Arabidopsis thaliana: one gene and its partners. The protein of the gene in region 3 purifies or fractionates together with the protein of the main gene of each other region. This does not show direct contact. Each region holds a gene or a part of one and is shown on either strand. Other genes may lie near its edges. The genes, in order: AT5G19760, PGR5-LIKE A and LHCB4.1.

What was found.
Region 1: the proteins of LHCB4.1 (region 3) and AT5G19760 fractionate together in Arabidopsis thaliana (co-fractionation; one large-scale study listed by BioGRID). This does not show direct contact.
Region 2: the proteins of LHCB4.1 (region 3) and PGR5-LIKE A fractionate together in Arabidopsis thaliana (co-fractionation; one large-scale study listed by BioGRID). This does not show direct contact.

The regions. Positions count from the first base shown.
Region 1 is NC_003076.8:6,676,662-6,687,754, forward strand, and holds AT5G19760 (Mitochondrial substrate carrier family protein), read right to left. Parts: upstream 5,394-11,093; 5' UTR 5,185-5,393; coding exon 5,068-5,184; intron 4,664-5,067; coding exon 4,580-4,663; intron 4,335-4,579; coding exon 4,273-4,334; intron 4,169-4,272; coding exon 3,807-4,168; intron 3,300-3,806; coding exon 3,085-3,299; intron 2,987-3,084; coding exon 2,930-2,986; 3' UTR 2,645-2,929; downstream 1-2,644. Other genes in the region: AT5G19740 (Peptidase M28 family protein), read left to right, coding at 1-106; AT5G19750 (Peroxisomal membrane 22 kDa (Mpv17/PMP22) family protein), read left to right, coding at 463-812, 1,017-1,104, 1,381-1,475, 1,631-1,703, 1,794-1,886, 1,997-2,083, 2,386-2,466; TUA3 (tubulin alpha-3), read right to left, coding at 6,100-6,415, 6,507-7,015, 7,127-7,326, 7,404-7,618, 7,701-7,813; TUA5 (tubulin alpha-5), read left to right, coding at 10,551-10,663, 10,747-10,961, 11,039-11,093. UniProt on the Arabidopsis thaliana protein: Catalyzes the transport of dicarboxylates, such as oxoglutarate, oxaloacetate, malate, and succinate, and of tricarboxylates, such as citrate, isocitrate, cis-aconitate, and trans-aconitate by a counter-exchange mechanism across the inner mitochondrial membrane.
Region 2 is NC_003075.7:12,005,150-12,011,903, reverse strand, and holds PGR5-LIKE A (PGR5-LIKE A), read right to left. Parts: upstream 4,919-6,754; 5' UTR 4,748-4,918; coding exon 4,549-4,747; intron 4,123-4,548; coding exon 4,010-4,122; intron 3,912-4,009; coding exon 3,815-3,911; intron 3,723-3,814; coding exon 3,622-3,722; intron 3,527-3,621; coding exon 3,470-3,526; intron 3,386-3,469; coding exon 3,309-3,385; intron 3,216-3,308; coding exon 3,053-3,215; intron 2,974-3,052; coding exon 2,876-2,973; coding exon of another isoform or gene 2,872-2,875; exon of another isoform or gene 2,799-2,871; coding exon 2,729-2,798; 3' UTR 2,719-2,728; intron 2,647-2,718; 3' UTR 2,368-2,646; downstream 1-2,367. Other genes in the region: AT4G22900 (transmembrane protein, putative (DUF1191)), read right to left, coding at 652-1,683; LDOX (leucoanthocyanidin dioxygenase), read left to right, coding at 5,845-6,341, 6,426-6,754. UniProt on the Arabidopsis thaliana protein: Ferredoxin-plastoquinone reductase involved in cyclic electron flow (CEF) around photosystem I. The homodimer is probably not involved in CEF.
Region 3 is NC_003076.8:203,571-214,663, reverse strand, and holds LHCB4.1 (light harvesting complex photosystem II), read right to left. Parts: upstream 5,799-11,093; 5' UTR 5,581-5,798; coding exon 5,071-5,580; intron 4,784-5,070; coding exon 4,421-4,783; 3' UTR 4,116-4,420; downstream 1-4,115. Other genes in the region: LECRKA4.2 (lectin receptor kinase a4.1), read left to right, coding at 1-147; LECRKA4.1 (lectin receptor kinase a4.1), read left to right, coding at 1,331-3,379; AIRP2 (RING/U-box superfamily protein), read right to left, coding at 6,265-6,475, 6,563-6,797, 6,895-6,961, 7,061-7,211, 7,803-7,867; RUS5 (root UVB sensitive protein (Protein of unknown function, DUF647)), read right to left, coding at 9,513-9,758, 10,389-10,481, 10,577-10,695, 10,765-10,825, 10,910-11,023.

The DNA of each region.
Region 1 (11,093 bases), 6.5 Mb from region 3:
GAAGCTAAACACAAAAGCATCTTGGGAAAATGTTCAACACCAGATTTGGAGAGTCTCTAGAGCTATTAGACATGCTTCACTTGTTTTAAAAGGTGAACTGATATGAGATCAAGAATGCTCTTGTTGCTTCAGCACAATGATGTGAACATAATGAAGGCAGATAAGATTCTGTCACAAGTTTATTCAGTTTTGGTGTTTACATTTTGTAGTTCCTCTATTTCTTTTGCTTAAAATTTGTTTCTTTTGATTAAAGTTAAACCCTGAAACGCTTTGAAAACCTCCGGTGAGATCAATACACTCCGGCGTCGCTTCGATGCATATCAGCATATGAAGACCCATATAAAACCCCATTACTAAAGCCCATATAAAAGCCCAAAATACAACCGGAAGCTAGATTCAGGAGTTCTATACTTGTAAAAGCTAGAGTCAACGCCGTTCAGTCTCAGACCAGACGAAACAACGATGCTTAACTCTATCACTTTAACCCGGAAACCACCACTCCCGTTCAACTCTGTTGGGTTTTCAGGTAATCACTCTTCGTCTTTTGGTCGAAGAACTATAACGGAAGGTAGTTCGAGCAAGGCTCTTTCGTTTGGGTACAAAAATGTTGGTTCACTGAAGTGTGGTCGGAGCAATTGGCCGGGGCGTTCTGGGACTGCGTTTGGGCATCTAGTCCGGGTCTCTGCGGTCCCAGGTGGGAATTCAGGTGGCTCTGGCGGGTTAGGTGGTTCAGGCGGTGGTGGTGGTGGTTCCGGCGGCGGTGGTGGTGATGGAAGCGACGGAAAAGGAAAGAAGTGGTCACTTCTCTCATGGTAATTTTTCTTACTTGCTCCTGTCACTACTCCTGTTCTTGTGTAAAGATGTTTCTTTGAAAAGCAATTCATTGAAGCAGATGTTGGAAATTTTTCTTGGATGTGTTAATAATTTACTCACGGAACACTTTTTTTCTAGTATGATTCTTTGCTTTTGACTTGAGCATAAACACACTTTGTGTGCCTTTTTCTATGGTGCTTCAGGTACCAGGCTCTTCTCTCAAACTCTCCTGTTTTGACCAAAGCTGTGACCGCAGCACTTTTGAACCTCGTTGGAGATTTGATCTGTCAGGTAACTCTCTCATTTTTGTGCTATCTTTGAAGTTTGGATTCTTCACTATTCAGGATATATCGAGATAAAACAGTATTCATGAGCTGCTGCATTATGTATTTCTGAACAGACAGACTTTAACTTGAATTGTGCTATCTCTTTTTTAAAGTTAGAATGGAAGCTAATAGACCCAAAATACAGGATAATGTAGTAAAGCCCCATTTTCTTTATAATGCTTGATCGTATTCTGCTAGATATGTGAGCGACATTGCTTATTCGTATCACTTTTGGTTGCAGCTTACTATCAACAAGACCTCATCGCTGGACAAGAAGAGGACACTCACCTTTACCTTCTTGGGCTTAGGGCTAGTCGGTCCAACATTGCATTTCTGGTATTTCCGTGGACCTTTCACTCGTATGACACCGCAAAAGCTAACTATATTACGTCTCTGCTAGTGGTTCTTCAGTTGAAGAGACTTATGCATCCATTGGTATATTACTTATGCTTATTCTCTGTTCTCTGAAATCTCTCAACTCCATCCATTAGGTATTTGTATTTGAGCAAAGTGGTGACAGCTTCTGGATTATCAGGCGCAGTTATACGACTTCTACTGGATCAGGTAGCAAAGTTTCCTGTTCCCAGTCTAACAATTATGTTCCCATCTTGCTTCCTCTGTGTTAGCACTTAACACCAAAATTTGTATTTGCAGTTTGTTTTTGCTCCTATTTTTGTTGGAGTTTTCTTATCAGCAGTTGTGACACTTGAAGGAAAACCATCAAATGTCATACCGAAGCTACAACAGGTTGGATTAAAACCTAACTAAACTTAATATTTCCGGTGCAGGAATCTAAATTTGATACTTTGTATCTTTTGCGGTGTTCTAATTGAATCCATGAATTGCTGGTTGTATAGGAGTGGACTGGTGCAATGATAGCAAATTGGCAGCTATGGATACCATTTCAGTTTCTTAACTTCAGATTTGTTCCACAGAACTACCAGGTTTGATACTAAACTCTGTGACTACATGAAACGGGAGTCTGAAAAAAAATACAATTGGGTTAAGATAGATATGCTTCATACATAACGAATAACGACCCACACGCTGTTAATCCTCTGCTTAGTATAATCTTTGAGAATTTATTACGCATTTTCATGTTTTTGAGCCCTTGTTAAAAACATCTTTGACATGATGAGCTTGAGATGAATTACGCTTGAATGACATTAGCTTCTAGCTAGTATGCTTAGCAAGATTTTCTTTGGCTTTGAGGATGAATCGATGTCTTATATATGAATTATTGCAGGTACTTGCTTCAAACGTAGTGGCTTTGGCTTGGAATGTGATTTTATCATTCAAAGCTCACAAAGAAGTTGTTGCAAAGTAGACATGTTTCTTACCTGGAGCCTAGAGGTGGTTGCTGGATTGTTATCGGCAGAGTTTTGGGGAAACGGTCTTGTCTGCTGATGCAAATGTTTGGTGTTTCGAAACAATTATTTGGGAACCCTGCACTTGACATTTTCTTAGAGTTGAAACAAGCTTTTCTTCAAGCACTTCAAATATTTCCCCATCATCAATGTTTCATATATTTATTGTTTCCTCATTCAGAGAATTTTTTTAGTTCGTATGAAAATTTTGAAATCTCTGGCTATGTGTCTTAAACTTCCACCAAAGAAGAAAATTTAAAATTCACCGGACCAATCACCGACCGAAACAAAAAATTAAAGTTCAAACAGCTACAATAATATGCTTTTAAGGCAGGTTATGTATATGATTAAAAAGCAAATGAACACAATTCCAATTGTGTTTTCGTTCTTCTCATCTTATTTTTTTGCTGCTGTATTTGTTCCTCACATACCAATCTTCTTTTGAAATTTCGTAATCTGGTTTAGGAAGATCCATGTCATCTGCCAAAAGAAAACCCGATCAACAACTATCTTAGAGGCAATCACGAAGTGGTAATTACAATAACATAAACAAAAAAGGGAGATAAGAGCTATTATACCATGACGTGAGGGGCAATCCTGACACAGTAAACTGGGAAACCCGAGTAAAATTTCAGAGGTCCTCCTTCTTTTAAGGTTTTCATCGCACAATCGAGCGAACCTGTGTATGGATACTTTCCTTGAGCATCCGGTTGCATTTTCTGAATCTGAGTTTTGACAAAGTCAAATGGCAGACTGCAAGCCGCAGCGCAGAACCCAGAAACAGCACTTGCTCCTGTTAAAGTAAACAAAAACCAAACTCAGAGATCTATTTTAACTACAATTTATCATACAGAGATTACATGACCATATGAAAATACTGATAAAGGTTTCTTGTTAAGTCTAGTGCAGAACTAGTGTAACAAGCCTAGGAAGTTGAGAAAAGTGTAGTTTTGCCAACTGAGCGACCTTACAATTAGTAGCTCTTAAAAGGGAGTAAGGACAACGCAATGGGATCCATTCTGGATTGGTCTTAGATCTGGGTTTGGGCAACGGTTGAGAGTTTAGAGAGTCCTCTCATTAATAAAGTATTTTCCTTGGTGTAGTTCTTGGATAGATTGTATTAAGTGAAATACACATTTAATTTATGACAATCTAACACTCGTGTAATCAGGAGATTATATGCTACAAATGTAAATTTCCAAGACGATTGATTCTTAGGATCCTTGACTCTAACTGCTATCTACCTGCTCACAGAAAAAATATATTCTTACTGTATGAGAAACTTGGAAGAGCAGCTTACCTACGACCGTAGACATCTCCCCGAAACCAAGATTATCTCTCATGTATTCAGCACTTTGATCATAAGATGCAAGCATTCCCATGTTCAAAGCCATAGCTCTGACCACAGTGGGCCCACACCCTTTCCAAAGTGCTAAAACTCCCTCATCAGCGCTAATACGGGTAAGCGCATGGAAAGCATTGGTATAATTCCTGCGCTGAGCTAGCGGCAAAGTATTATCGGCCTGCATTCTGATAAGTGCTAGATCGGCTGGACTACCGACGCAAGCACCAATAGCACCAGCTGTCAGACCACATAGTGCCTTCTGATACAGCGGTAGAGGCTTTCCATCATTAGACTCAATTGCCTTTGCAGTCAGCAACCTAATAAGATTGACAGAAGAGAGGATGATTTATCCATAACCATAAGGCAATAAAAATCTATTCATCTGGATGGGCTCAAGACGAAAGACGAATGACTAACTTACTTGAATGATCCAAGACGGGCTGTCGTGTAAGTTGCTTGCCTCAGCAACCCAGCAGATAATCCCTATTAAAAAAAATTAACATCAAATAAGCTCAGGAGACATCTTCAATGGGGTATAACTAATGTTGTTGTTGGAAAGACTGTTAGATAAGGAAATTAATTCTTTGAATAGCTGAGACTCAGATCCGGAAATGCAGAAATCATATACATTACAAATCAACAAAAGTCATGAACATATCAATAGAAAACATACTACACAAAACGTACATCTTCAAGATAAGTAATGCATCCAGAAATGCAATTTATACCTTGTAGAAGGCACCAACGCCCTCATTCTTAAGCATGTTGGTGGTTATACTGGCTGCAGATCCCTGACCAAGTTGAATCCTCACCTTCACCAACCAGAAACAAAACAAAGTATTAGTTAATTACATTCACATCATTTAAAAATCCTATGAACACAGGCGAAGAATCACACATTGTGATGAACCTAAGAACGTTATTCTAATCAAAATCCAGATCTGAACTAGAACATTTCATCTAAACATGTATCAATAGCAACAATTCACACTCAAACGAGTCTGACTATGTTCCGAGCAATGAAATTTGATTATAATAAGCCAAAACAAAAACTCAGATCTGAGAGATAAAATCTACAGACTCGGATCTGATGAACAACATTTACGGATTTCGTAGGTATCAATACCAGCAAATCAAGCAAGAATTGTTAATACTAACGAGCTTAGACATAGAGATGGGTGATACAGAAACGTGTATCCGTAAACATTTGACAGACCTTAATCATGTCGATCGGCTGGATAACGCAAGTAGCGAGCATACCAGAGGCACCGCCATTGACGAAGGGCTTCACGGTAGTCCAGACACTGATTGGAGCTTTCTTCTCTTCCGCCATCTCTCTCTTTTCTTTTGTTTTCGTACGGACTCAAACGCAACCAGAAGAAGAGATTCCTTCCGCGGAGAAAAAGAGAGAGAGAAAGAGATTCACTTGGTGGAGAGGAGACGATGAAGTGTGAAGCTTATGGGCCTTTTATATTAACACCACCCAACTGAAACTAAATTGCACCAAACCCTTGCCTTTTTAATTTTTATTTTTTTCCATTTGCATATGAGATCTGATCTAAGCCAGACATATTTTCTAAATTTATTAATTTGGACTTTACTTTTCACCATTCGGATTTTACGCAATCCAAATATTTAGAGTTATTTATTACGCATTCATATGAATTTTAGATTTGACATTCGTCCATTTCTAATTTTCTAGTATGAAGTTGAAAATCGTTAGTATTCTGAATTTTTTGGGTCCAATAAATTCTAATTTTTTAAAAAAATTGATCTTCTGTATTTGTATTTTGTATTTGTTCAATAATTTTTGGCATTTTTCACGCCGTATTTTAGATAGTGGACCAGTGGAGCAGTATTTCTGATGCAATTTGATAATTCTGATGCCCTTTTGTGAAGATCAACGTGGTTTGTTAACATTAGTTGAATCTCATAAATGTATTATTAGCTGATACGACAACAAAGCATATACAGAACGTTGATAAACGTTAGCGCACCGATAGACGAGATTATACTTCAAGGAAAAATGGACAGTTGTAAGAAGATTATCAAAGTTTGGTACAACAAAAGCTTGATAATGAACTCGGGAACTCGCAATGGTCGCTCTACCAATGAAAATGTATCCAACCGAGATAAAACACGAAGACCGAACGAATATTTTACAGGATTTAAACAATCAACAGAATCAAAAGTGAAAACAGATAAACGAAAAAACTTTTTTTGGTTGCAGTTTTTTTGAGAAAAGGTGTCAATAGTCTTCACCTTCATCTTCTTCATCGTCTCCACCTTCAGCACCAACTTCTTCGTAATCTTTCTCCAGTGCGGCCAAGTCTTCACGTGCCTCAGAGAATTCACCTTCCTCCATTCCTTCACCAACGTACCAGTGGACAAATGCCCTCTTCGCATACATGAGATCAAACTTGTGGTCGATCCGTGAGAACACCTCTGCAACTGCTGTGTTGTTACTGATCATACATACAGCTCTCTGAACCTTAGCGAGGTCACCACCTGGAACAACTGTTGGAGGTTGGTAGTTGATTCCACATTTGAACCCAGTTGGGCACCTGCAAAACAAAACCCATGCCAAAGGAGTTATTATATAATAACAACATGAAGGTAGAAACAGTAGCAGCTTTATCCATTTCTAGATCATACCAGTCAACAAACTGAACAGTCCTCTTTGTCTTGATGGTGCCAACAGCAGCATTAACATCTTTGGGAACAACATCTCCTCGGTACATCAAACAACAGGCCATGTACTTTCCGTGTCTCGGGTCACACTTTGCCATCATGCTAGCTGGCTCAAAAACGGCATTGGTGATCTCAGGGACTGATAGCTGCTCGTGGTAAGCCTTGGCGGCTGAGATGACTGGTGCATAAGATGACAGCATGAAATGGATACGGGGATATGGGACAAGATTGGTCTGGAACTCAGTGATATCCACGTTGATGGCACCATCAAACCTCAAAGATGTTGTCAAGGATGAAATGATCTGTGATATCAACCTGTTCAAGTTTGTGTAGGTTGGCCTCTCGATATCTAGGGATCTGCGGCAAATGTCATAGATGGCTTCGTTATCCAAGAGGACAGCTACATCCGTATGTTCAAGAAGGGAATGCGTTGAGAGAACACTGTTGTAAGGTTCTACAACAGCAGTAGAAACCTGACATCACAGAGGAATATGCATTAAAACCAAGTTTCATCCAAATTAGACCACTATAGAAACATGTCATGTAAGAGTTTCTACTTCAGTGTCTAGCAAAAGAAAGAGTACCTGAGGAGAAGGGTATATGGTAAAACCAAGCTTAGACTTCTTTCCATAATCTACAGACAAACGCTCTAGCAACAGAGAACCCAATCCAGAACCAGTTCCACCACCAACAGCATTGAACACCAAAAACCCTTGTAAGCCAGTACAGTTGTCGGCAAGTTTCCTCACACGGTCAAGACATAGATCCACAATTTCCTTCCCAACTGCAATTACAAGAAGCATTCTAAGGACCATTTCAAAAACCCTAACAAGTTAGAACAAGCAGAAAGTGGATTCTCACCAGTGTAATGTCCTCTAGCGAAGTTGTTAGCAGCATCTTCTTTCCCAGAAATGAGCTGCTCTGGATGGAAAAGTTGACGGTAAGTACCAGTACGAACTTCGTCGATAACGGTAGGCTCGAGATCAACGAAGACAGCCCTAGGGACATGCTTCCCAGCACCAGTCTCGCTAAAGAAAGTATTGAACGCATCGTGTGCAACACCAACTGTAGTATCACTGCAACAACGCAAAAGACTCGTATCTCAAAAATCTTCCGATCCACAGAAACAGAGTACAAAGAGTGAATTAGGGTTTATACCTCGGCATCATTCCGTCCGGCTGGATTCCATGTTCGAGACAGTAAAGCTCCCAACACGAATTTCCGACCTGGATCCCAGCTTGTCCGATGTGAATGCTTATGATTTCTCGCATCTTCTCTCAGTAGAAACCCTAATTTCGAGCGATTCGCTTCTTCGACGGACGGAGAATTGAGGAAATGAGAGCGGTGAGCGAGATCTTCTTTTTTTCCTAATTTCCATGATTTTTGTGGGAAATTGATTATTTATTGAATGAGATTTGATAATTGGTTGGGGTCCGCCAAGTTGTGACAGCCTGCCTTTGGGACTGGGCATAGACAAAATACGTGAGATTCGATCTGGATCTAGATCTGGAAGGTGTCGATTTTTATCCGGTTTAAATAACTTACCGGAATTTAGGTATTTCGTTAGTATGAGTGAGGTAAATAATAGCTTAACCGACCTAAATCGATATTATAGGTTAAATTAGGGTTTAGTGGTTTAAATAACTATTGGTTATAGTAGGATGTTTTTGTAAGCGCCAAACAGAAAAGAAACGTCATGTAAGGTTGTCTTTGTTATAAGATTTTGATTCTCTTAGTGCATTTATTTATTAATTAACTTACATAAATATTGACTACGTAAAACGTGTTTTCAAGATTTGAAATCACAAGTTCTGAGATAACCCCGTATAATCCTTTTAATGACATAAGTAGGAGAATAAAAATTTGCAAAACTATAAATTTGTAGAATGAAAAATTGCATAATAAAACAAACAAATATATGTGTCTAAAATTAAATATACATATAATATGTATTTACATAATGAATTTTTATTTTTATTTTCTATGAAGAAAACAAAAATTCTGTATTTTTGCGTTTTAATAAATATTATGTTAATTTTCTTAATTGGTAACATTCTTATATACTCGTATTAAAAAAATGTCATTTTGCAATTACGCGTATTACTAATCGGAGCCAAATATTTTTATATTTTTCAATGAGTGGATAAAGGTACGACCAAAATGATGGTTTGATAACCAAAATGATTGTAATGATACGAAAGATAAACTCATATAAATTGATCATTCTAAGATTGTATTGGATGAATTGAGATAGTCAGCTAGATTAATTCTCTAATTGCTAAGTTAAGTTAGATGAATTGAGACAATCAGCTATATTAATTCTATATAGCATATTTTTCCTAAGCGGTTTCAGATTAAAGATGTCAAAGTGGGTTAAGCAATTGTTTAGATATAATGGATCAAGATTTCAAGATAAACGATTATCAAATCCATTGAATTCATGCATGCGGTTAGGAAGATAGCTTAAGTAGCAATTCAATCCTATAAATATAATGTTTTAAGGGAATTTTCATCCATTCAAACTAACAAAAAGACAAAAAAATGCATGATCCTAAAGCAATTGATAGTTAACCTTAAGACTAAAAAATTCCCAAAGAGAGTATACAGTAAAGTAGACAACGGTCGAGTGAAACCGTGAATCCGAAGAGAGTACATAACGGTCACAAAGTTTGCGAGTTTACAAAAATGCTAGTTGATATGATTGGAAATGGGTTGGGTTAAGGAATTGTTTGATTAAATATGTCATCAAGACAATTATTTCATATTTCCACATGACTTGGTTTGTTTATGAACACAAATAATGAATAGAGAGATATATAACTATTACATAAATAGTTATTTAAATTTTTTGCATGTAATTTATTAAAACTTCAGTTATGTATTGTGGTGGTTCTCATTCACACAATATCATGAAAATGAATAGATTTCAGACTAGGGACAAATCTTTTTACTTTACATTCAATATCCTAAGAACATTCCCAAATCGTTTTAAGAAAGGGAACAAAACAATTGCAGAGGATTTGAGGAAGATGAAGTAGAATGTGGATGTGAGAACCCTTACATCTCCAAGAAACACTAAACAATACTAATAATCTACTCATTCATAGGTTTACATTATTTTCTTTTCTGCACATAAGTTTACATGATTACATCCATTTGATCTCACTCCCGTTAGGTGCCGACTGCCGACCCAATAACTTCACATAATCTTATACATATATTATTGAGAGGTTCATATTATTTTTACTAGTATATATAATCGAATGACCCTGTATATTTTCATTTGTGCACCCACTTTTTTTTTGTTTCCACCTAATCAATTTTTTGATTAAAAACCATTAAATACCAAAGAGTTGTCCATTATGTTTTTTTTTGGTGTTTTAAATGTCCATCCATAATTATTAATTCATAAAGCATATCACTAAATAAAATTGATGATATAAAAACAACTATAGTATGATCATGACCAATAGTTTTATGTGACTTTTGTCATTATGTAGATCAACACAACTGAATCTGTTAAAACGTGTTCAAAAAAAAAAAAATTGTAGAATCTGTTTGAACAAACAATAATGAAAAAAACATTGAACCGGATCGATAAACCAATCCACGATTCGATCCTATATCCTAAATTGACGTAAACCAATCCGGTCCATAACAATAAGTAACATGTATCCGCCGAAGATATTTATGCCAGCCAAAATTGAGAAACTGTAGAATGAACTGGATCGTGTGGGCAATATTGTAAAATGAACTCATTTTCGAACAAAAGCGAAGCCGTGGGACCCAAGGCAGGCTGTCACAAAATGGCGGACCCCAACAAATTATCAAATCCAATTCAATAAATTAATCATTTTCCCTTCACAAAATATAAACCTAATTTGCCAACGAAGTTGAACCAAAAAAAGAAGATCTCACTCTCACCGCCTTCATTTCCTCGATCTCCGTCTTCCTCCTTCTCCGTCTGTCGCAGAGCATCGCTCGAATTAGGGTTTCTGCTGAGAGAAGATGAGGGAAATTATTAGCATTCATATCGGACAAGCCGGGATCCAAGTCGGAAATTCCTGCTGGGAGCTTTACTGTCTCGAACATGGAATCCAGCCCGACGGAATGATGCCGAGGTATAAACCCTAATTCTCTCTTTTATACTCTGTTTCTGTGGATCTGAAGGTTTTTGAGAGACGAATGTTTTGCTCTGTTGCAGTGATACTACAGTTGGTGTTGCACACGATGCGTTCAATACTTTCTTTAGCGAGACTGGAGCTGGGAAGCATGTTCCTAGGGCTGTCTTCGTTGATCTCGAGCCTACCGTTATCGACGAAGTTCGTACTGGTACTTACCGTCAACTTTTCCATCCAGAGCAGCTCATTTCTGGGAAAGAAGATGCTGCTAACAACTTCGCTAGAGGACATTACACTGGTGAGAATCCACTTTCTGCTTGTTCTAACTTGTTAGGGTTTTTGAAATGGTCCTTAGAATGCTTCTTGTAATTGCAGTTGGAAAGGAAATTGTGGATCTATGTCTTGACCGTGTGAGGAAGCTTGCCGACAA
Region 2 (6,754 bases), on a different chromosome or scaffold from region 3:
CAAAAGACAATAGTTATAAGATTTTTTTTCTGTCAACTATAAGAAATTGATCAAATTATATCTATATTTTATTTTATTTTTTCTTAAACTAAATCACAAAAAACTGAAAGAAAAAGAAAAACAAAACCTTACTAAAATGAGTAAAAATTGATTGCAAGTTGCAATGAAGGTGGTGATTTGTTTATATTTCCGTACTTCGCATTAACAATAGCTTACTGGAGAAGATGCTTGTTGATGTGTAGGTGGAAAATTCTGTTAACTAGTCACAATACTGATAAAAGTATATTTTCTTCACTAAATCAGAAATATACATTTAATTAAAAAGTTGGAAAAAGAGATTAATAAATCAAAATGAAAAGAAAAAAATAAAGCTTACAGTATGAAAGTTGGGGGGACTCTCTGATTTTTTTAAATTTTTTTGCATAATTTCACTGACCATTTTATAGAAAATAAAAAAGAGAAAATTCTCCATTCTGTAAAAGTCTTTACTTTTAGTAAAAAGAAAACTAACGATTATAGCCGTTTAACCAAAAACTAAAAAAAAATGGATGAAATTTCATTTTGAAGCCATTGAAACTATTTCTACAAAACTATTTATCTTAAGATACTCAATTAACACAAAAAGAAGAAAAATCAGAAAACAAATGATAATTATGGATAATTACTATTCAAATGAGTGTTTTTATTATACCTATCATCGGAAATTCTAGGAAGAGTTCTAGTTCCAGGAGCAGTAGGAGCTCTAACATGACCCACCATTGACACCTGAAGAGCTTCTTCTTCATAAGCTCTTCTCTCCATTTCTTCTCTCATTGCTTTCTTCTTCCCCTTCACCAACATCGCCACCACTAACATTCCCAGCAGAATTGCTCCAATCCCTGACCCTATCACACTCCCCACCGCCACTTTCCAACGGCTCAACTTTCCTCCTCCGTTGCCACCATTCACCTCCGTCGATGATGCCACCACTCCACCACTACTACCACCACCTTCATGATCATCTTTTTGAGCTTCTGTCTTCATCACGAGAGCGTAATGCCCTTGTCTTGTACCTTTACACACATACGGCGAGACTTGCTCGCTAAACGTTGTGTTACTGTTGCTTGTAAAACACGCACACAAGACTGACGAGTTCTTCTTCGTAGGGTTAGGGCTAGTGTTATTAGTTGCCTTGTTGATCAAGAAATCGATTAAGATTGGGTTTTGATCGGTACCTACAACATTAACCTCGTAAGGGTTCCTGGCCACACCGTCAGGGTTAGCATTATAAGCCAACAAACCAAGAACCGGTGACACGAGCTTGTAATTGTAACCGGATAAGTTATAACCAGTAGAGTAGATTGAAGACCAATTCGAACCAAAGTTTTGTCTAATTAGCATGACTCTCTCCGGACATGGCTCCACCGTAAGGCCTGAACCGATGTGAAACTCTCCAATTTTTGCGCCATATCTTCTCAAACTCCCACACCTTAACTTGACCGTGTCAATATCGATACCAGAGAAATTAGAAGGGAGATAGATTTTCTGAGTGACGCCTGTGTTGAAATTGAGCTTAAAGTTTCTAATGGTGTAATCTCTGATCATGAGATCAAGAAGATGTGTAGATTGAATCAATTGAGACTTAGATTGGTGGAATGATAAGAGAAGTATCATGATGATGATACAAAAAGAGAATGAATCCATAAGAGGAACAAGAGAATCTAGGGTTTACAAGAGGAAGTGAAGATAAGAGGAAAGAAAGAAAGTTTTGATGGTGTTTTTACTTTTGTGGGGGATGTGTGTTTTGGGACACAAACATTATAAACACTTACACTTCATTTGTCAGATTTCTCTTTTACCTTTATAGAAGACATGATCTAATTGTTAAATAAGCATATGACCGTTCTAACGTAGAGGTTTTAAAATTTTTAAATCAACGTAAAAGCAATTAATAGGTTCAGTAGTGGAGGAGAAAATTGGATCAATGATGATAGAGGCATGGGAAGATGATGATCATGATTACACTTTCTGTGTTAATTAAAATTCATAAAAAAAAATTGTAATCAATTTTTAGACTAAAAAAGAGAGAGACATTGGCGTGCTAATGTTTGTGTGACTTTATCCTCTTTTGTGCAATGTTGTTACCTTTGTCTGTCCTTTCATTATATATGTTCTTGACTTTAGTTCTCTTCTCAATCAATCTCTTTATGTTCCACACCATTTCATAAAATTTACATCCAAATTAACACCATGCATTTCTCATAGTTTCTTGCCTCGGTAAGCAAATGTATATAATCGTGTATGCTTTTCGTTTTCTTGACTTAAAATCATTTTTTAAGGTCGTTTTAGATACAAATCATAATAGTATTAGAAATGTACCAAAGTTAATTTGAAATTGTAAAGTTATCGAAATAAACATTTTAAATTCGAATTTGGTCTTTCATGTATACAATTTGATTTAACTATAGTAATGATTATATTTTTATCTACAAAGGTAGATGAAGAAGTGCTCATATTATATATCTCTTATTGCTTACACACAATACTTACAAATCAGAAAACATGTGAAGGAGAGAGAGCTAACATGGAAGATCTTACATATACATTTAACTTCGAATCTATTTTGCTTCTGACAAAACCCATTCTTCTTTTCCCATCTTCATCTAGCTGGAAAAAGCAAATTTTACTATCTCTGACTTCCATGTGATCTAAAGAATTTACTATAAATGAGATGTGTACCTCACAGGGTTTAAGCTTGGCTTCCTTCTGGCAATGTGATCAACCTAGAACCCGAGTCATACACCATCGCGGTTCCGCAGCTAAAAACAGAGATAATCAAAGAATCAGATAGTAATATGTTACACTTTTGAAACCATATTCGAAGGTAAAATCTTACTTGGTGCATTTGACAGTGTTGGTTTTGCCGCCGCTGGAGATTGACAGAATTGTTCCAAAGAAGGAGGTGTTTTCCGTTCCACAATTCGGACAAGGACCCTGTGAAACAAGAAACATTCATAAAAAGGCTCTTTGATGTTTTTCTTTTGCAATCTTGAGTAATGGTAATGGTTCTTACCTTCAAGATCAAGAAGTCCTTGATGATCAATTTGGTGATTGATAAAGCCAGATATACAATCACAGGCACAGCAGCGAACCAAGTGAATATGAAACTGTATGGTTCTGGAAGCTCCATGATGTATGTGATCTCAAAACCTGTAATGTCGTCCAGGAAGAAAAAGCTGCAAGTACAGAATTGAATGAATAAACAAAGACGAAATATGGGTTTCATATGATTTGGATGTTTGAATAGAAAACTCGGTATAGAGACTCACAGTCCGAGAGCAACAACGGTTGCTGGAACATTCAACAATAACATTTTGAAATAATCTACAGCGAGATCACTATACACCTACATTTGAGGAAGTTCATAAAGACTGAAAATTAGTATCTATCTATAATCTAATATTAACAATGAATCTTATGTTCTATTTACCTTTTTACTACGGAGACTGCATCTTGGACCCTCGCTCACAATGTCGCTACCATCAATCTACATGGATACAGAAAGAATCATAAACTTGAAGCTTAAACCAATCTTATAAGGGTATGTCTATTTTCACTGAAGCATAAAAAGTGAATGGAAACCTTTAGTTTGAGTTTGAGCTTATCATATTCTTCATCATTCAAGATTGGATTTCCAGAAACATAAGCCATGGAAGCTTCCAAGAATCTTTGTTCATCGGAACCTGTGTTTCATATTACCAATAAAAGATTTAGGACTTTGCACCAAAGAAACCAAAACAAAGAAATGAAATTTAGTCCCATAGTTGATGATTACTTAGCATCACAACACTGCTTCCTTCCCACATTAACTCTTCTTTAAGGTTATCAAACTCTTCATTAGACATGATCGCTTTGCCATCATAATAGAAAGACTGTAATCAAAAGACAAAAGCAATTCTCAGGCTCTTGAAGATTAGATATATATCATGTTTTGGCAACTATAAAAAAAATGGTTTATTGTAGCGTTTACTTGCAACGCTTGGAGAAACTCTTGTTCCATTTCACCAATTGTTTTCTTCTCAGCCTTGTTGATGCTACAATAGGGCAAAACATTGCTATCGACGTTGTCTCCTCCTACTGGACCTTAAGGAAGACAAAAAGACTGTAATTGAGAACTTCATAGCAAATCTAAAGTTGATACCTTACTTATGCAACCTAATAGTTACACAACTTCTGACATTGCAAAACTTTAGTACAGAGTTAACCACTAAATAGTCAACAAAGTCCAATACAAACAAATATACTATACCAAAGTTATAGCCATTGAATCAATCAAACCCTTCAAAGAATTGAACTTTAACAGGATTCGAGTCTGGATACTACAAGTTAGTGACTTAAAAACATAAATTTTCAGAGCTAGAGACGTTGAATTAAAATAATATATCCTAAATTTCAAAAGGCTCAAACTTTGGAAACCCAATTGTGAACAAATTCGAATCCAAATGGCTTTGTAAACAGAAAACTAAGGCGGAGTGTTCGAAATCGAGACTAAAGTGGCCAAATCAAGACCTGATTGCTCTGTTGTGGCTTTAGCAGGCAACAAGAAGACTCTTCTTCTCAAAGAAATCGATTTTCCAGGGCTGAGCTGAGTCCATTGAGTCCTCGAAGACGGCGACGGAGGAGAAGGAGAGAAAGAAGAGGAAGGTTTGCGAGAAACGGCGGAGAAAAGTCGAGGACTTGTCAAACTAAACAACATCTTGCTACCCATTTTCCCTTAGAGATAGAAAAGGGAGCTCCTTTTTTTCCTCTGTTTTTTTCAGTAAGTATGAACCTGTGGTTGAAGATGTGTTTACTGTGAGCTTCTCAGGTTTCTTCTGATTTTTTTTTTTTTTTTTTTTTTTGGTTTTATTATAAATTTGGAGGGAAGAAATTAGGAGATAAGAGAAGTGTGGAGATAAATTCCTAGGCAGATTTCTCTTATTTTTTCCTTCCTCTCATCCTCATAATCAGAATATCCACGTCAGCATTAAATATCCGGTTTTCTTAAACAAAACAAAAACTTAAAATAGAGAAAAGACATAATTTTAGGCTTTGATTATACAATAAAAAAAATACTGTGAGATGAGTAAGAAGATTTTTTTTTCGAAACATGGTGATTTTTTAAAAAAATTTGACATGTAGTATGTGTAGTTGAATTCAGCTGATAATATACTTTAGTACAAACCATTAAAATAAAAATGAGTTCCAAATTTTAAAAAACAAACAAGATAAATAATTTAGTTTTCCAAAAGAATTATTGATCCACATACAATTGTCTATTTGAAATTGAAAACCAGTCAAATTGTTTTTTTAGTAATTGATTTCCAAACTACAAAAAGAAAATGTGGTTAGTAGAAGAACTAGTAGAGGTGAACACGTGGAGACACGCTTAAAGCACGCGACGAAGAACACGTTGATAGCGATTATGGGTTTAATTCTATTGGGCCTTTTCTGGGAGTCTAGACCCAAGCCCATATAGTAGTAATCTTTTTGACCAATCAGTCAACCCAACCATCCTCTCCCGTTGACCGTGAAGTGAGTCACGCACTTACCTCACAACAATAGCACTAACCACCGGTAGCTCTACAATGTCTCTTAGTTCGGTAACAAACTCTTCTAACTAAAAGTATAGTAAAAACTTTGCTATATAAGAAAGAGTCTTTGCACATTTCATTTACTTGCAACCAATTACAAAAAAGAGTGTAAGAAGAAAAACAAAACAAATCCATTTTTTTTATTACTCTGTTTTTTCCCCTGTTTTTAAGTTTATTTACTTCTTACTCTGTTTTCTGCTCTGTTTTAGCTTTAAACAGAAGACTAAAGAAGATGGTTGCGGTTGAAAGAGTTGAGAGTCTAGCAAAAAGCGGAATCATATCGATTCCAAAAGAATATATTCGTCCAAAAGAAGAGCTCGAGAGCATCAACGATGTTTTCCTAGAAGAGAAGAAAGAAGACGGTCCTCAAGTTCCCACAATCGATCTAAAGAACATCGAGTCAGACGATGAAAAGATCCGTGAGAATTGTATTGAGGAGCTGAAAAAGGCATCTTTGGATTGGGGAGTGATGCATTTGATCAACCATGGAATACCAGCTGATCTAATGGAGCGTGTCAAGAAAGCCGGAGAAGAGTTTTTCAGTTTGTCTGTGGAAGAGAAGGAGAAGTATGCAAACGATCAAGCCACTGGAAAGATTCAAGGCTATGGAAGTAAATTGGCTAACAACGCGAGTGGACAATTGGAATGGGAAGATTACTTCTTTCATCTTGCGTATCCTGAAGAGAAGAGAGATCTATCAATTTGGCCTAAGACACCAAGTGATTACATGTAAGCTTTGAATTGTTTTACTAAAGAAAACAAAATCTTGTTTTGGTTTTAGAATCTTTTATTAACGTTTTTCGATGATTGTAGAGAAGCAACGAGTGAGTACGCGAAGTGTCTTCGTTTGCTAGCGACTAAAGTCTTCAAGGCTCTCTCTGTCGGTCTAGGTTTAGAGCCTGACCGTCTAGAGAAAGAAGTTGGTGGTTTAGAAGAGCTTCTTCTACAAATGAAGATAAATTACTATCCAAAATGTCCTCAGCCTGAGCTAGCACTCGGTGTGGAAGCTCACACCGATGTAAGCGCTTTAACTTTCATTCTACACAACATGGTTCCGGGTTTGCAGCTTTTCTACGAGGGCAAATGGGTCACTGCAAAATGTGTTCCTGATTCGATTGTGATGCACATTGGGGATACTTTGG
Region 3 (11,093 bases):
GATAACGATTGGGGATACTCGGATTCTTCAAGAAGCGATTTAGGATCCAACTTTGAAGGATATGTTTCATCGGATAGGGCTTCGAGCTCAGTCCCATCTTTCTCCGTTACAAGGGTTTCTTCTAGTTCTGTTATCAGTGGTAGATAGTACAAAGTCAATTACTTCGAGTTTTTTTCTGTTGTAACTTATAAGCAATAACAGTAGTACAAATTTTGTTTTTCACTTCTTATGGTATTTTTGGTATTTAGCATTCAAACGGCTAGTTTAACAAAAGCGTATAGCTAAGAGCGGTAAAATAATTTTAAATAACAGACGGTATGCAACATTTACGGCTACGAACTGGAATCTTATTTTACATTTGTAAATTGCTAAGATGCTTGGCCGATTAATCTTAGAAATTGATTCTCTTTAGTTTTAAACTACGATGAAAAATATCAGTCACCAATTAAATTCGTTTAGCTTTTAAAAAAGCTTTAAAAATGAGCAAAAACATAAAACTCAAAAATAAATATGTTGGGTTGTCTATTTCTAAATTGTTGTTACAAGTTAGCAACCTTAGCATGACCCAAAAGCTATAACACACATATCACTCAATTATTAATATCGATATTTTAATATTAGTGCAAATTTTCCTTGTGAAATTGACATGTATATTTGCGTCTTTTTTGTATTAAATTTTGTTACCAATCGACAAATCAAGTCCATGAAGAAATTTAGAACTCACTAGATATTGCTGAAATGGTAATTTAGAAAATTATACGTGGGTGTTACTTGTTAGAGAAAAACTTGAGAGTTTGAGAAAACACTTAAAAGTTAAAACGGTTAAACGATATTCATTGGACATTTTATCTTTTTATCTTTTAAGGTTTAATCACAAACGTCCAAGTCCATATGACTATTTTTTTTCTTTCTTGTTCCTAAGGAAAAATATAAAATACATGATGTTAAAGTCAACGTAGAATTTGTCAAAGTCAGCCTGATGGTTGCGTTTGGACCTCTTTTTAACCACAGAGTTCAAGCACTAAAACATGTTGGTCCAAGTCTTAATGGAAATTATTTGTTGAAATAAATGGCTAATATTTTTTTTCTATTTATTAATTTTCACAAAAACATTGGGTGCCATATATTTTCAATGTACGGTAATGTGAACATTGAGCGGAAAGTACCATGTTCCTTCTTCTTTTTTGGTTTTGGTATAATTTTCATCTTCTTTGACTCATTAGAATCTGAAAGAAAAAAAACAAACTCTCATCTCATGTCCATAAAAGAAATTATCTAACAAAGAACTCTTCAAAGTATCTCTTTATCTCCTTCTTTACTTCGCTCACCCATGGGCACACAAAGATCCATGTTCATAGTCTCATTCTTATTCAAGCTTTTCCTGTTTTTGAGCGTCCATGTTCGAGCTCAGAGAACAACAACAAATTTTGCTTTCCGAGGTTTTAACGGAAACCAATCGAAGATTCGGATTGAAGGAGCCGCGATGATCAAACCCGACGGACTATTGAGACTCACTGACCGAAAGTCGAATGTTACCGGTACAGCTTTCTACCACAAACCGGTGAGGTTGCTTAATAGAAATTCCACAAACGTCACAATTCGTTCCTTTAGCACGTCTTTCGTCTTTGTCATAATCCCTTCAAGCTCAAGCAATAAAGGCTTTGGATTCACATTCACACTATCTCCAACACCTTATCGTCTCAATGCTGGATCCGCACAGTACTTGGGAGTTTTCAACAAAGAGAACAATGGGGATCCTAGGAACCACGTATTCGCAGTGGAATTCGACACGGTGCAAGGATCAAGAGACGACAACACCGACAGAATAGGAAACGACATCGGTCTGAATTACAACAGTCGTACTTCGGATCTCCAAGAACCAGTCGTGTATTACAACAATGATGATCACAACAAAAAAGAAGATTTCCAGCTTGAGAGTGGCAATCCTATTCAAGCCCTTTTGGAGTATGATGGAGCAACACAAATGCTAAACGTCACCGTTTATCCCGCGAGATTAGGGTTTAAACCCACAAAGCCTTTGATCTCTCAACATGTTCCAAAACTGTTGGAGATTGTGCAAGAAGAAATGTACGTCGGATTCACGGCATCGACGGGGAAAGGTCAGTCAAGTGCTCATTACGTGATGGGTTGGAGTTTCTCAAGCGGCGGAGAACGTCCAATTGCGGATGTTCTAATCCTCTCGGAGCTTCCTCCGCCGCCGCCGAATAAGGCGAAGAAGGAAGGTTTAAATTCTCAAGTCATTGTTATGATCGTGGCGTTATCGGCAGTAATGCTGGTCATGCTTGTGTTACTCTTCTTCTTCGTCATGTACAAGAAGAGACTGGGACAAGAAGAGACTCTTGAAGACTGGGAAATCGATCATCCTCGCAGATTGAGATACAGAGACCTCTACGTAGCCACGGATGGATTCAAAAAGACTGGAATCATCGGAACCGGAGGATTTGGAACCGTTTTCAAAGGAAAACTGCCGAATTCGGATCCCATCGCAGTGAAGAAGATAATTCCAAGTAGCAGGCAAGGTGTTCGAGAATTTGTCGCAGAGATCGAGAGTTTGGGGAAACTAAGGCATAAGAATCTGGTGAACCTCCAAGGATGGTGCAAACACAAAAACGATCTCTTGTTGATTTACGATTACATCCCCAACGGAAGCTTAGACTCTCTGCTCTACACTGTACCGAGAAGAAGCGGCGCCGTTTTGTCGTGGAACGCTCGTTTTCAGATCGCTAAAGGAATCGCGTCTGGTTTATTGTATCTTCACGAAGAATGGGAGAAGATTGTGATTCATAGAGACGTGAAACCTAGCAATGTCTTGATCGATTCAAAGATGAACCCTAGATTGGGAGATTTTGGACTCGCGAGGCTTTACGAACGCGGAACGCTATCGGAAACAACAGCACTCGTTGGAACCATCGGGTACATGGCGCCAGAGCTTTCCCGCAACGGAAACCCCTCATCTGCGTCTGATGTTTTCGCGTTTGGCGTTTTGTTGTTAGAGATCGTTTGCGGGAGAAAACCAACGGATTCCGGTACCTTCTTCTTGGTCGATTGGGTTATGGAGCTTCACGCGAACGGTGAGATTCTCAGTGCGATTGATCCGAGACTAGGATCTGGTTACGACGGAGGAGAAGCAAGGCTTGCTCTCGCCGTCGGATTGCTCTGTTGCCACCAAAAACCGGCGTCTCGGCCGTCGATGAGAATCGTGCTTAGGTATCTAAACGGAGAGGAGAATGTACCTGAGATTGACGATGAGTGGGGATATTCAAAGTCTTCAAGAAGCGAATTCGGATCCAAGTTGGTAGGATATGTTTCGTCGACCTCAATCACCAGAGTTTCTTCGACTTCTCGTATCAGTCAGTAGTGGATAAAGCACATTCACTTTTTTGCTTCGAATTAGTCAAATCGTTTAGCTTCAAAAGACCAAAACATGATTTAACTAGTACTTATGATTAATGAACAATAGTATAAAATAAATTTGTTGGAATGTCTATAGCTAAAAGTTTCTGAAATGAATGTGGCGGGGAGGTAAAACCTTAATATATAATTTTTTCGTGACGTCACACAGATTAGTCATACTATCAAAAAAATTAAAATTAGTATTTTGTAACGTCACAAAGATTACTCATACAGTTATGATTTTTTTATATAAAATTACTGTATGTTTTGCTTAACGTCATCATTTTTGTTATATTGTCCGGATTATCCATTTTTGATCGTTGAACCAGCCAATTCTATATTCATAATTGATTATGACGAACCTCATTCCTCAATGAATATTTTTCTTCAAAAGAATATTAGAATTACAATCAATTCATCGAATCTCCACGTTCAATAGTTTGAAAACATTTTTTGTGGTTGTTTCTTCAGTGCATACGAGCAAGTAATTGAACCTGCTTTTTTTTTTTTCCTAAACTAGTAATTGAACCTGCTTGTTATGTGTCATAATCAACGACAAAAATAATAATTCAATGTCCTCCCAAATTACGGAACAGTGACAGTGAGACACGGAATCAATTTCAAGGAGACTTCACAAGACAAGTCTCCCATGTTCATCCAAATCCCACGCGGTGTGTGACTATCCTTTTTTTTTTTTTTTTGTCTGTGGACTTATTTGTTTTTCTGTACGGTTCTCCTTTTTCATTGTCCAAATCAAGAAAAAATAATCACAACATAACTAATGGGTCGGTCTTGTACTCCTGCTATTGGGCCAATCTGTATATGCGACAAAAATACATTTTGAAAATGTACGACGAGTAGGTATAGTAAATAAGGAGAAGCCCAATTTAATGTCATGGGCCAAACATGTAAATAAACCAAACAAGCAAAAGCCCAAAGTCGATTCAGTATCATCATAGCTCTGTTTTTACATAAGTTACAAATAGAATCTCACATGATAATGATTTTAAGATGAGGAGAAGGTATCGATGATGGTGGTGTGGAGTGGATCACTGAGGTGAGTAGCCCAATTGTTGAGTGGACCTTTACCTGTTGCAGCCGCTTGAACCGCGAATCCCAAGAAGGCGACCATCGCAAGACGTGCATGCTTGATCTCAGCTAACTGAAGTTGAGCAGTCTTCTCCGGGTCAGCCGCTAAACCTAGCGGGTCAAAGAACTTGCCTCCGGGGTATAAACGCTTCTCCGAATCAAGCTCGGCGTTGCGCTGGAACTCGATGTAGCCGATCACTAACACCTCGATCCATATCAATGTCGAGATCGAGAAAGGTAATGGCTGCCCCAAGTAGGACGATCCATCTACAAGCTCCACCTGATTGAATAACAACATTTCAACTAATATTTAAATATCACTCATTGAACACTAGACTTGAATATTCTTGACTGAACAGAAACTCAAACAGTCCAATGCTAACGCAAACTGTAAGAAAGAGAGAGAGACAGACGCCAAAGCAAACGCTAAATCAACTAAATTGTACATACATTTCTATCTGAGTCGCAAACAAACGCAAACGCAACTATTTGAATACTAATTTATTAGCATCTTCGAAATAACTAACTTATAACCGATTATCCAAGTGGAGAAGGGAGTGGCGTTACCTTGCCAGCGTCTTGCCATGTAACGCCGGTAAGCCATTCGACGGAGAGAGCGCCGAGAGTAGCGAGCATCGCCCACCGTCCGTGGATGAGTTCGCATTCCCTGAATCTCTGGATTCCGAACACCTCACTGTACGGCTGAAACGGCGTCGATTTGGCGTCGGCAGCTTCCGTACGGGTTCCGATCACGTCTCCGGCCAAGTTCTTAGCCAGATTCTGGTCTAGTGAATCGATATCGAATTGAAGATACTCGGCCGGTTTGCCTAAACCGAAGGGATCAAAACCGTAATCTCCAACCAAGGAACCATCAAGCCAGTCAGGAGAAATGGCGCCTGGGTACCAAAGAGGCCGGTCCGTAGTCACCGTCTTTTTGGCACTCTTTTTGGGAGCTGCCTTCTTCTTTCCGAAACCGAACACGGCTGTGAACCGACCTGAACCGGGATGGATACCGGGAGCCACCCGAGTACCCATGATGGAAGAAGCAGCTGCAGCAGCGGCGGATGTTGCGGCCATCTCCGGCTAATTGGGTTTTGTGATATTCAGAAGATAGAGAAGAAAGATCCGTTTCTTGATACACGATTATAGATGCGTGGAGGTGAGTTTCGGAGCTGGCCTATCTTGGAAAGACGATTATGACCGTTGGATCGATTCACAAATCCATCTGACGGTGAGTAGGATTACTAATCTTATCTATTAAACTCTGCGTTATCTGGTGATGTTTCAAGTCCATTGGCAATAAAATCTAGATGAGGTACAATCTGATTGGGTCAAATAATTTCTTACCCCAGTTAGAAGAAGCCACGTGTACTGCGGTCTTGTGCTTCACTCAAATTGCTGGTTTCCGGTTCAGCCAATTCGATCCATACCGAAACCAAATTACTCCCCAAAACGATCAAAACAAGTCGGTTTGACTGAAACACCAATCGGTTACTGTAATTCATAGTCAGATAGACAGATACTAATTTAAACGAACCAAAATGTGATTAAGTACCCTTAATCAGCAAATATGATATCGAATTTTTGATCTAAATGTCAATAACCAATGGTTGTTATATACAAACCCAAATCTGAGACTATAGAAAGATGAAAAACCAACTAAAAACACATAAATATTATATACAAAGTGGACATAAATAGATGAAATTTGTTTGAAAGAAATTGCTATGTGCATAACAAGAAACAGAGAGAATGTAATGTTCACCGAGGAAGAGGAGCATAAGGGACAAGATTTGGATCAGAAGTAACGAGAGGCAACTTGTCAATGTATATCAACAACCTCTTCAGATTCTCCTTGTAAATCGCTGGTAAATCTGCAATCTCGGCGCTACAAGTGTATATCCATAGATCACCAGAATTCACTCTTTTCAAGCTGCCTCGACAGAACGGGCACGACTGTGACCGTGCACGCCTATTCCAAACAAGAGATTCTATAACTTGTAAGAAAAAGGCTGATGAATGGTGAGAGTGAGTGAAAAGAAGGAAAAGCTTTATATACCAGTTTCTGTAGCAGTTTATACACATGGAGTGATTGCACGTAGGAAGAACAACTTTGTTTCGAATCTCCAAGCAGATTCCACACTCTTCTTCCCTCTCCAAATCGATCTCCGACATCTTTCCTTTATCTGTTCTGTCCTTTTTACGGTATCTTTTGTCGCATATCTCCTTCTGTTTCCTTTCTTCTACATCGGTGATCCCTCCATGAAGTTGCAATAGCGAAGGAAACAACACATCTGCCCAACAACATCCATTGCTAGTCAGAAAAAAACATATCGTCTGGTCTAATCTTATACCTTTAGATTAAGAGAGAATAAGTGATTAACAGATTACCATAGAATTCTCTGATACTAGTTTTGCGTTCATGTAGCGACATTGTGGTCTTCCCATCAACATATGCCTATAAATAAAAAACAGAGAATCACATATCAGGCAGACAAGAACATTGTGATCTTGAAGATCCAGTAGCAATAAAACAGCAGGAAAATTAATAAGAGACCTTATAAATAAGGATCCTAAGCAAGCCCAAAGCGCCAGCGAAATGACAATCAGTCCACTGAAGAAGGAAGAGAAAGAGATGAGCCGCCGGGCTGTAAGATAATCTCATCTGAACGTAGCCACCATCATACTCCTCTGGGTACTCTGACGCCCTACACACACATAGTTCATTTTTTTTTAATCATTTTGATTCAATGATTGGTGAGATTAGTACGCAACATGAACATGTTGCTTCACAGCTTAATCCAAGTATACCAAGTCAACTTAGGATAGCATCAGAGACTATATACGACGAAAGGAAAAAGAATTGACCACTATAGATAGATTTTGTGTGATCTGACCAAAAGGTGGTGGTGGCGTCTGAGACTTGCTAAGGAATAAATTGGAATTTATGAGCTCGCGTAAACGCAAAGTCTTAAATTCAATATGACATCAGCACACATAAGACCCAGCAGACAACAGAGATACAGATTCACAAGTATCAAAAACTGATTATCCTCTGGAAACTTCAGTAGAAGTAAAAAAACAATCTGACCTATCGAATCGGAAGAGACAAAAATCAGCAACTCAAGCAAAGGGAAAACCGAAGTACCAACTAAATATGGATTTAACCACAGCATCAAACAAATTTATGAGGCAAATCAACCACTCTCGACTAAGAACACGATCAGATTCTACCAACACATCGAAACATCAAAACAGAGAAAAACAGAGAGAAGAAATAGAGAGAGAGAGAGATTTACAGAGTGTTGGCGAACTGGATATCAGCTTCAAGAGCCTTGAGTGAATCCTTGAACGATTTTCGCATTTTCCGAAGAACAAAGTTTTGACATAAACCAGCTTCCTTCCGAGTGATAGAGAAAACAGAACCCTACTAGCTCCTTTGTTTATTTTTTTTGGTCGAGATCACCGACAGAAGCCTAAAATATCGCAAACCCCCTAACAACAACTCGAATTGATTCTCTCTCCCATTTCCATGGAGGGTTTTGAGTTTTTTTGCTCACTCAACCACAAGGCAGCGACAGGAAGAAGAAGAAGAAGGAGGAGAGAGAGAGAGAAAGAGAGGATTTAGATATTGATAGATTCGCGTAGAGCACACGTAATATCAAAAATATTACAAAAGGGGAGGAGCGTCTGTCTAAAGCTCTTTTTTGTTCGACAAGGAACGGCAACACTTCTCCTACTACTCCACACACAAAAATAAAAGCTTCTCAGGAGTAAATGGTAATTACCATAAAGCCCTCCCGTTGGGATCCACCTAACAAATATAGGATAACATTATTTAATTAAAATGAAAATCTGATAATTATTGAGTGACACGCCGGTGACAGGACGTGTGTCACTGCTATAGGCGGCGGTGAGTGGAAGTGAGCCTACATTGCTTCATCGTCGTGAGAGCTAGAATTATCTGACCGACATGTGTTTTATGTCAGTGAAACCACGACACGTGGCGGAATACATGAGCGTACGTAGGTCCAAATACTAGCTTTGACGTGTCTCTATTTCCATACGGTAATAAAGTGGACCCTAGTTAACCCCTCAGAATCGATGATTTTGTGTTAACCATTTATGGAATATTTTTGCATGCTTGGATCGCCAAAGGCCATGTATAAAAATTGCTTAGTTTTTTTTTTTAATTTGGGGTTTAGGATGATACGTATGTGACCTACGTGTGCTTTTACAATCAATGAATATGGATGAGGAGGGCAAAAGAATCACCACAATATTAGTAATATGTTCGTGACATGATTGCTTATCATTATTATTACGGAAACAAATTAATAGCGATAATGACTCATCAAACCGCTAATTCAACTTTAGTAATGAAGACAAAAATAAAGCAAATTCACTTTTCACAAAATTGCAAATACATTGCTCTAAACTGCAAATTTAATCCGTATATGATAATAAATCAAAAGATAACTCTATCTAATACATATACAGAACTTATGCTACAATTTGAAATATATCAGTACTTAGATAATAATAGCTGAGAGAAGCAGAGTTTGGTTCTATTATTAGTATACAAATCAAAATTATAAAATGTTGTTGTCTTGTTGTTTTTAATTCCGAAAGCCACCTCTAAATTCTAAAATAAACGCAAGCAGAATAATGGTGACGAATCAAGTACAAACAAAAGAGGTATAATCACTATCATTGGCCTAAAACCTTACCATTTGTCTCATCATCCACACTAACTTATTATTAGATATTTTACTTTTTCTTCTTAATTTTATATGGATCAGGTCACACAATACAAATTTAAACAAGTTGCCATACAAAGCCTGATATATCCTAACTATATTAGCTGTACCGAACATGATATTTCTACAAATCACCTATAGACTACTCCATATTCTCAAATTGACAGGGTTTGGTATTATTTACCTCAGTGTTATTTTCTTCTGTTCAAGAGATTGCGTGATGAGTCTGAAGAATCAATCAATCGAGTGTTAGAAAGGGATAGATTCCTGGTCTATGAGAACTTGGTTGGGAACCTTCAAGTTAGATTCACGTAGATTCCATCCAGCAGTATCCAATTTGAACAAGAAATCATCAAACTTGTTGTCCATCTCCGACAAGCTTTGCTTCAGCCAGTGGAACACACTATCCTTGTCTTTAAAGCTTTCTTCCATGTTCTCCTCTAACCAATATGCTTGCCAAAGGCATCTCAACACGTCTCTGCTTGTGGCATTCACCTGCATTATTTGTTTTACATTCATGAATTAAAGGCAAGGCAAAACAAAATGGATTAGGCCTCACATTCACGATATACTTGATGGAGAAGGAGTAGAAAAAAAGCCAGAAAGTATGTAAAGTAACGTAGTTTCAAACGAGAATGATAAAAGCAAAGAAATATTAAGATCATGCAACACTTTACTGATAAAACAACAAAAGGTCGACTCTAGCCACGGTAACTGAGAGTACTCTCCAGCAAGGTGAATAAACTTTGTCCCGTAGGTTAAGCCGATATTTCTGAAAAATGACTGCCTACCTCATATGCTTCTCAAGAAGCTTATTCAACTAAGAAGAAGCAAACAGTATGTCATCCCTATGATCTCTCACAGTCCTAACTTGACATGCTCTAATTAATTACCCATGAATGGGTTTCAAGACTCTCAACTAATCACTAACCAAAGCATACCCAACTCTCTATCAGGTTACTTGAAAGACAAATAAACGAGTAACGTATTCTAGGTTCTTTCTTCACAGTGCAAGAACAAGGAAAATCATGACGGAGTCAGTAAATGCAGTATGGTGCTCGGTTTTAAATTTAGCCCTTTTGGAGGAGAATGAGAAGCAGATAAGTCGTGTAATATAGGTTTTACCTTAAAGGACACAGAAAACTCAGTATCCTTGTTCAACTTATTCAACGTAAGAATATATTTCTCCTTTGTGTACATCTTAAGGAGTGCCTTGACCTGAAAAAATCAAAGTTTCAAGAACTTGGACTTACAAACAGAAGATTCTCTCAAGAGTACATATGGATGCAGTTAAGATGAAAGGAGAAGATTACCTTAGAAACAGATTTCTCCAGACCAGACAACTCTTCAAGGGATACACCAAAGATGATTCGAGGTTTCATGAACCTCTGCCACAGCAAAATGTTTTCTCGCTTGTTGCAGTCAACATATCCTGTATAGTATTATGAGTCTTACTTGAACGTTGAATAATAAGCTGGATAAAGGGAAGAAATATGCTTACCTGGTACAACTGAGTGCACAACATGAGATTCTACTATGATACGAGCACGCTTGAGATTTACCTGTCAATATTTCAAATCAAAGTTATCACTTATCTGAGTTTTCTCAAGTTGGGATTGTAAGAATATCCATTTCAAAACTCATACCGTGTTAAATTGTAGGACTGCAAGCGACTGGTAGCGTAGCCAGAGGTGAACAAGTCTAATGCTCGTCCATGTAAGTAACACAAACGGAAATGACTTTACAAGGCCCGGCGTGTCCTGCATCAAAATTTAGAGCATACAAACGCTTAACATGAAACAAAAAAAATGATTTAGATGAAATCCAATG